2 linked regions of the Macaca mulatta genome follow. The main gene of each other region encodes a partner of the protein of the gene in region 2 in a complex. Links are inferred from orthologs where the notes say so. Each region holds a gene or a part of one and is shown on either strand. Other genes may lie near its edges. The genes, in order: POLR2C and GTF2E2.

Region 1 (4,314 bases), on a different chromosome or scaffold from region 2:
TTCACAGAAAACACTGACTCAGAGAATATCATGGGAGTGGAAACATGTTTATTTGAGCTGAGTATTTCCATGAGAAGCACTTAAATCTGCTACCTGTGCCACCACCAAATCCAAGAACATGAACTATTTGAGCACTTCAAAGTCAGGGAAAACCTCACAGAAGTAACACAGACTTATGGGCCATACCTATATTTTAGGATATAATGACTGGACTGCCCAACTTAGCACTTTTTAAACATTCAACCAACAGACTTTTACTGAATTCCTTTAACGCACAAAGCATACTAAATATAGAACCCAATCCCTAGCAGCAATGAGCAGGTAGGAAGGTAAAGACGGTATTATCTATCACACACGCTTGACTTAAACACATATTTATTCATTCATAAACATTTGCATGGAACCAACTAAATCCAGGAATCAAATGGCATTGGAGCCCAACTGCCAAATGAGGGACACAGACACTAGGAACAGAGGTCGGAAGAGGACCTCCACATGCTAGGCCTCCACCTACTCTGTCCTGCTATGCTTCCCATTGCTTCCCCAGTCCAAGCCAACTAAGAGAACCCTGACCCAAGCTTTTCTGCCTCTTTAATCCCCCGGCCCCTTCCTCCAGCACACCCTTCCCCTCCTCACTGTACAGGTTAAGATCCTCTGTGCCTCCTAAAAACTAAGCCTTGCCTGCCCTCTATGCTACAGGTGTGGCACTCCCTCTCTTTCACCTCCTCTCTCATGAAACTCTCTTCAGACTTCCCTGAAGACACTTGTCATAGTGTGCCTTGTGTCACATTTGTGTATGTTATGTCTATACCCCAAGCTTCAGAAATTCCTTCAGGCAGGTGCTGGGATGTCTTTGTATTCCTAGCTTGGGTGCTCAACATTATTTGTAGAACTGAATTTGTGGGGAAAGAGGCATTTAGACTCAGAATGGCAGGGCTGCATCATGAAGTACAACTCCCTCACCTGACTCTTGACGAAACTGAGGTCCAGAGACATGAAGTGATTAGTCAGGGGGAGGTCCAGCACTCCAAGCTGAATTGAAGAAGTGACTGGGGGGCCGGGGTTGGTAGTGGATAAACTACAATGTTCTCTTGCCTAATCATTTGGCTTGCTTATTTCCTTAAAAGTCTAAATATTTGATGCCACATATTTCTTTTGCCTAACCCAAACTCTCTGGACCTGACTCTCGGAAATGCTTGAAGTATTTCATACAAGTATAATCAATGCATTAAGCACCTGGAGCAAAGTGGCTGGAACCAGACCAGAAATTGATGTTCCCTCCTCTAAGAGCCAACTGCACCATAGCTATGCTTCTCCTGAACTACTGATCAGTCTACCTTGCTTTAGTGTTGTCTGTGGATTCATCTCTCCCCCTGCAACCTCACTGTGGACTCCATGAGGGCAAAAACCATGTTCTCTACAGCTTTGTATTCCCAGAGCTTACCACCATGCCTGCCACTTACATGCTCCATAAATGCTGTTGAAGGAATAGATTAATAAAAAAGCCATCTACCAGCACTGAGCACTCACTAAACATAAAGCACTTATATGGATTACCTCACTTAATCCTTAACATTACCCTGATAAAGATCATTAGTGGCTGAATGTTACAGATGAGGAAACTGAAGTACGCAGAAGTTTAATAACTTGCCCAAGTTTCTCAAAAATAGTAACTGATGCAGCCATTAAAAAGAACGAAATAATGTCCTCTGCAGCAACATGGACGCGGCTGGAAGCCACTATCCTCTTTTTTATTCTCTTTTGTTTGAGAAGGAGTCTCAACTCTGTTGCGCACGCTAGAGCGTAAGAGGCATGATCTCAGCTCAATGCAACCTCCACCTTCCGGGTTCAATCAGTTCTGCCTCAGCCTCCCCAGTAGCTGGGATTACAGGTGTGCACCACCACACCCGGCTAATTTTTGTATTTTTAGTAGAGACGAGGTTTTCCCATGTTGGCCAGGCTGGTCTCGAACTCCTGGCCTCAGGTGTTCCTCAGCCTCGGCCTCCCAAAGTGCTGGGATTACAGGCGTGAGCCCGGCCTGGAAGCCATTATCCTAAGAGAATTAACACAGGAACAGAAAACCAAACACCGCATGGGAGTTAAAACTGGGCACGCATAGACATAAAGATGACAATATAGACACACTGGTGACTACTAGAGCAGGGAGGGAGGCAGTGGGGCTAGGAGTAAAAAACTACCTATTGGGTACTACGCTCACTACCTGGGTGAAAGGATCATTCATATCCCAAACCTCAGCATCACGCACTATACCCAGGCAACAACCCTGCACCAATGTACCCCCCTGAATCCAAAATAAAAGTTGAAAACATTTAAAAAACTTTTGTGACAATAGTAGTGAAAACAGTATTTGAACCCAAGTCTGCACACGGTTAAACCCATGCTTCTCAGCAATGCATACGCAGGACAACAGTGGACCTAAGTGGTCCGTGGGTGCCAGGGAGGCGGCCACTGGGCCAAGGGCACAGGGTATGGTCAAGTCTCCAGCAATGCACTTTTCTCAGCACTACCACCCTCAGCCCGAACCAAGGACTGGAAGGAGCCCCAGGGAGTGTGGGTGGAGAGCGGGGCAGGAACCCGTGGGCCCGGGAACGAGGAAGGGGGGTCGCTTACCTATTATGGGCACCTCAGCGATGAAGACCCTCCGAATCGAATTGGCCACCCTGAAAGACGAAAAGCCAAGAGGCGTGAAGGCGCTGCAGCCTCGACAGGCTGGGCCCGCGCCGCAGGCTCCCAAAGCTAAAGCCCTGGCGCAGGGGGGCAGCTCTGGAAGGACATCACCCCCACTCCACCCCCGCTCCCTGCCCCCGGGGCCCCGGCTTGGGCCTCCCGGCGCCCCAGAGCCGCCAGCCTCTTCCCTCGGCAGCCTTACGCCAGGTCGGTGTTCTCGATGATGAACTTCACATTCTCGTCAGTGAGCTCAGTGATCCGCACGGTGGGCTGGTTGGCGTACGGCATCGCTCCCCGTGGCCGCCAGCCTCCGCGTCAGCTCCGCGGTGACTGCGCCTGCGCCACCGCCGACACCGGAAGTCAGTCAGCGTGGCCTCCGCGAAGACGGCTCACAGCGCCGCCTGCTGCTCGGAGGCCGGAACCGCCGAGCGTCTTCTACCGCCTCCTGCTTTAAAATGTACCGGATTCAGCTATCTCGGAGGGTAGTTTGGCAAAACACGCGTACGTCCTCGACTTAACAGTAACATTTCTAAGAACTCATACTGCAGAAACACTTGCAGTTGTAAACAAAGATACGAGTGCAGGGACATTCATGGTAGTACTGTTTGTACTGTCCACTGATAAGAGACCTGGTGAAGTATACACACGTAGAATATCATGAAGCCCTTAAAAAGAACTTGTACATCTACAGAAAAACAAAAGTATATTTTAATATGAATGCATATTTTAGGAAAGTATACCTGAATTATAAGTAAATACCCTTTCCCTTGCAGTCTCAAGTATGGACCATGCACTTCTGAAAACTTCAGGAAAAGATATAATATTCTTTAACCTAATGCTTCCTCTGCAGTCTGTGTAGCTGCGGTGGGTGAGTGGGAGCTCTTTGTCTCTGCATCTCCAGTGCCTCGCAGTGGGCACCATGTGGGGTGCATGCTCAACCAACAACTACTGAAGTCCCCTAAACAGACTGGAGAGAGTCTCAAACTCTCAATGGGCCTCAAACAAAGTGGCGGCTGCTCCAACAGACAAAAGCTCTAAAATAGAACTTGACAGGAGCTACATTTAAGAGGTGGGAGAAGAGTAACCAGATAAAGAGTTTGCCTTTGCAAAGACTGACACCTCTTCCTGAGACAGAGGGTGGGCACTGATGGAACCCTGCTCCATAGCCTGTGTCATCTCTGTAAATTAAGAATTATGGTTGTCTGCTGAGTGTGAGATGGATGCTATGAAGGAAAAAGGAGAATGCAATGAAAACTGGAACAGCTACTGCAAAAACTTCACAGGATGTCAAAAGATACAAGGAATGAAGAGAGGTACAAAAAAGATCCAGTGGAAGACCCACAAGAGATCTGAAATTCAATTAGTTGCTGACTTCCCCCAATAATATTTAGCTGACTTAGGCAGAAGAGAGCAAAGCAGAAAACAGAGCTAACCAGACATGCAAAGGGAACCCAGCCAGTGTACAGGCTGAGAAAATTACTGGGGCTAAAGAATGTACCACTGAAATCGTCAGACAAGGGCAGCCAAGAGAGCTAATGGTCTGTGGGAAGGCTTCTGTTACCCCTATTTTACTGATGGGAAGACTTGAGCCCAGAAACGCAGAGGTACCATAACTACTACTGTGTA
Region 2 (3,811 bases):
GAAAACCCCCACATAACAATTAAGGAGGGACAAGCAATCTGAAACAGTCACTGGCTTTCTCCATTCTCTTGTTTTCTTGCTTTTTGCACAGTCCTTTTTGTTCCCTGCTAGTGCTGTATTGCACACTTCTTCAAAGCATTGTATGATCAACAAAATTACAATAATATTTGTATCTCCACCAAGAACTGAAGAGGAAGCAACACAGATGAGATTTAATGTAGATGTGCCGAAGAACTACTTGAGGAATTTTTTAGGCTACAACATATCTTCACATTTTTTAAAGAAGAACAAAAATTTTGGGTTTCAAACAATTTGGAAATAAAGCCTGCCTGAAAATGAAAACCGACTGTGTGCTTTCATAACCCTTCTACTCTAATTCTAAGTAAGGGAACAGAGCCAGTAAAGACAGATGTCAAACTAAATTTACATCACAAAATTATTTAAGATGGACTAAGCCATTATCAGATTATGGCACTGTTGTAGTTTAAAATGTAATGAAAAGCCTACCACATATAGTAACAGGAAAGCCCCTACCAAAATGGGAGAAAACAGCCATGCAGGAAACACACCTAGCACTCAACTGTTAGTCTAGGATTCAGTAGTCCCACTGAATTCAACACACTATACAGCACACAAAGTATCAACTTTGGTGACATGTCTTTATTGACAACATTTGTGCAGGTTAAGCTGAGACACTTTTAAGTTAAAAATCTTAGGAGGGCCCTGCTTCTGATAATGACCAAGTAGCTCCTAAAGGACCCAACCTCCCACAGAAAACACTATCAACTCTGGACAAGACATTTTAAAAATCAACTACCTAGGCCGGGCGTGGTAGCTCACACCTGTAATCCCAGAACTTTGGGAAGCTCAGGCGGGCAGATCACCTGAGGTTGGGAGTTGGAGACCAGCCTGACAACAAAATTAGCTGGGTGTGGTGATGCATGCCTGTAATCCCAGCTATTCAGGAGGCTGAGGCAGGAGAATCACTAGAACCCAGGAGACGGAGGCTGTGGTGAGCTGAGATCGTGCCATTGCACTCCAGCCTGGGCAACAAGAGTGAAATTCCGATTTAAAAAAAAAAAAAAAAATCCAACTACCTAAAGGAACTGAAAAGCAACCAAAAGAAAACAGGCAAAAAGGGGGGGGGGGGTCTATACTCAGAAAGAGCACCGAGGGCAGGCCACAGTCAGTGCCCTGTGAAGCTAAAACTCAGTGTTTTAGCTAATCCTCAGTGTTTCTGCATTGAAGAACCAGGAAACAGAGCGTGGGGCAACCACAGCAACTGGAAAGTGAAAAAGGAAACCTTGGAAAAAGTCAGCCTAGCTACCCTGGGCTATGCATGAATGGAAAAAGATTCCGAGCAAAAGGGCTAAGGCTAAAAGAACAGAAGAGACATATCATATGCTACCTGCTGTAGGGTAGACAAGGTTTGGAGTAACTGCCCACTTAACCACAAAACAAAACAAATAAAAACACTCTTTGGAGGAATGTAACAGAATCCTGAGTCTTTACACGTATTAATATAATTCACAAGGTCTAAGACCCACAGAAATGTATTAGATATATGAAGAAACAGGAAAATATGACCCATAAAAGAGACAGTCACTGCAGACCAGCTCTAAGATGACTCAGCTGTTAGAATAAGAATTTTAAAACAGCTATAAGAAATCATACTCAAGGGTGTAACAAAAGATACCTGTCACGAATGGAAAAAAAAAAAAAAGAAAACGAAATTCAGCAAAGAAACAGAAACCAGAAGAACAATTTAAAAAGAAAGGCTAGAACTGAAAAATACAACTAAAAAAATTCACCAACTGGGCTTAACAAGTTGGAAGTGAAGAAGAAAAGTGAGTGAACTTGACAATGGATTAACAGAACAGGAAAAAAAAAAACTGAAATAAATAAAGAGAGCCTCAAGGACTTGTGGTACAAAACCAGAAGATGTGACATGTATAATTCCATTACCAAGAAGCAGAGGAGAGAAAAGGCCAAGTTTTCTTCTAATAGCAAATGAATGAACCTGCTTGATAAGTTAACATTAATCCTTAGCAATTGTGACAAATGAAAACAAGCAGCTTTCCCCAGTGAGTTTCAAATTTAAATTGGAAATGTAATCTGTACCAGTAGGACTTTCATAGGTAGCCCCTTTAGGACTTCAAAATAGCCAGGTTATTAATCAATACTTTTGTGTTTTAATGCCTCTAGTTCCTCAGGTAAGGAACATCTACTACTATTATAGAAGACACTCTTATTTACAAACACAGCTTACAAGAGAAACTCTACTGCCTTTGAGGAAAATTTTCCAGAAATATCCTGAACAATCAAACAATCATATAGCAACAGCAACAGGAACCCGTCAAAGTTACACAGAGATGGCTGCTCCCTTTCCTGCTTGGTGACACAAGACAAATTTCAAACCTTCAAGTGGCTCACTGTAACCCCATGTGTATATAATGGAAGCTTTAAAAACAATTGTAAAATGTTTGATATTTCTAGAACCAAGAAGTCATTATTCATTCAAATTACATTAAGACACAGAAAGAAGAGAGAGATTACCTTGACAGCTTTCTGGGAATTGGGCAGTGCTTCTTCGATGTCTTCTAAAAGAATCCCTCCTAATCCTCGCTGGTCATGCTGATCTAAGAGCCTAAGTAGGGCCTTCTTATCTCTCACGTTGTACTTGGGCTTGAAAGCATACTTCCCATCTATTACTTCAATTTTGGGATTGTTGACTAAAGCCTGTAACAGTGATACAATTGGAGTATATTAACAAATGGAAACATAAATACGTTCTTTTTTTTTTTTAAACGAGTCTTGCTCTGTTGCCCAGGCTGGAATGCAGTGGCGTGATCTCAGCTCAGTGCAACCTCCACCTTCTGGGTTCAAGCGATTCTCCTGCCTTAGCCTCCCTCTCCTGCCTCCCTCCCTCTCAGCACCTGGGACTACAGGCGCGTACCACCACACCCAGCTAATTTTTGTATTTTTAGTAGAGACAGGGTTTCAACATGTTGGCCAGGCTGGTCTTGAACTTCTGACCTCAGGTGATCCACCTGCCTCGGCCTCCCAAAGTTCTGGGATTATAGGCATGAGCCACTGCGCCCAGCCCATATATACATTCTTAATTCTACTAATTATTTTAAAATACAACACCAGCCAATACAGTGGCAAATTAAAAGTACCTTATGAACACAAACTGGCAGGCCTAACATCCTGGACATCCAGGATTCCAGAAGAGTAGATCAGCATGGTGTTCACTTTTTATAAAAGAAACTGTGTTTTATTTACATAAATTCTTTGAGGAGAAATAAACTATTTTATCACAACTACTTTGAAAAAAGCTGAATCCATATTCTTCTAGAAGTCAAAATGGGTAGAAATCAATAAAACACCTAGTGAACTGAGTAGTGCCCACTCCGCCTGCAAAGTATAGCTTATCACATATTGGCATTACAAAGTGAGAGACATTACCCGTACTAGTCAATGGTCTTCCCCATCTGCTATCAACTGGCACTGGCAGCTGTGTAACGAACTGAAAAGGACCAGACTAGTGCATACAAGAACTTTACCTATGTCAGCTTGAGAATGAAACTGAGTAGGAATGCAGGAATTACTGAATATAATTATGTTTCTAGTCAGTTCTGTTGTACAGCTAGTATCAGAAGGAAAGCTCTTCAAAAAGAGCAACCCTATATATTTTCTTCTGCAGCTGCCAGCCTGACCCTGAAAGGAGAGAGAGAAGAAACACAGGAAGAAGAAAAAAGGGAGAATAGAATAGTAAAATGATCAAAGTCATGTTAACTATATGTTGGTA

Evidence for each region.
Region 1: GTF2E2 (region 2) and POLR2C share a complex: the UniProt entries of both Homo sapiens proteins name them as parts of the TBP-based Pol II pre-initiation complex. The link is inferred for Macaca mulatta from reciprocal best matches to the Homo sapiens genes GTF2E2 and POLR2C.

Annotation. Positions count from the first base shown.
Region 1 is NC_133425.1:53,058,672-53,062,985, reverse strand, and holds the start of POLR2C (DNA-directed RNA polymerase II subunit RPB3), read right to left. Parts: upstream 3,030-4,314; 5' UTR 2,977-3,029; coding exon 2,891-2,976; intron 2,682-2,890; coding exon 2,632-2,681; intron 1-2,631. UniProt on the Homo sapiens protein: Core component of RNA polymerase II (Pol II), a DNA-dependent RNA polymerase which synthesizes mRNA precursors and many functional non-coding RNAs using the four ribonucleoside triphosphates as substrates.
Region 2 is NC_133413.1:32,389,967-32,393,777, forward strand, and holds part of GTF2E2 (transcription initiation factor IIE subunit beta), read right to left. Parts: intron 2,740-3,811; coding exon 2,557-2,739; intron 1-2,556. UniProt on the Homo sapiens protein: Recruits TFIIH to the initiation complex and stimulates the RNA polymerase II C-terminal domain kinase and DNA-dependent ATPase activities of TFIIH. Both TFIIH and TFIIE are required for promoter clearance by RNA polymerase.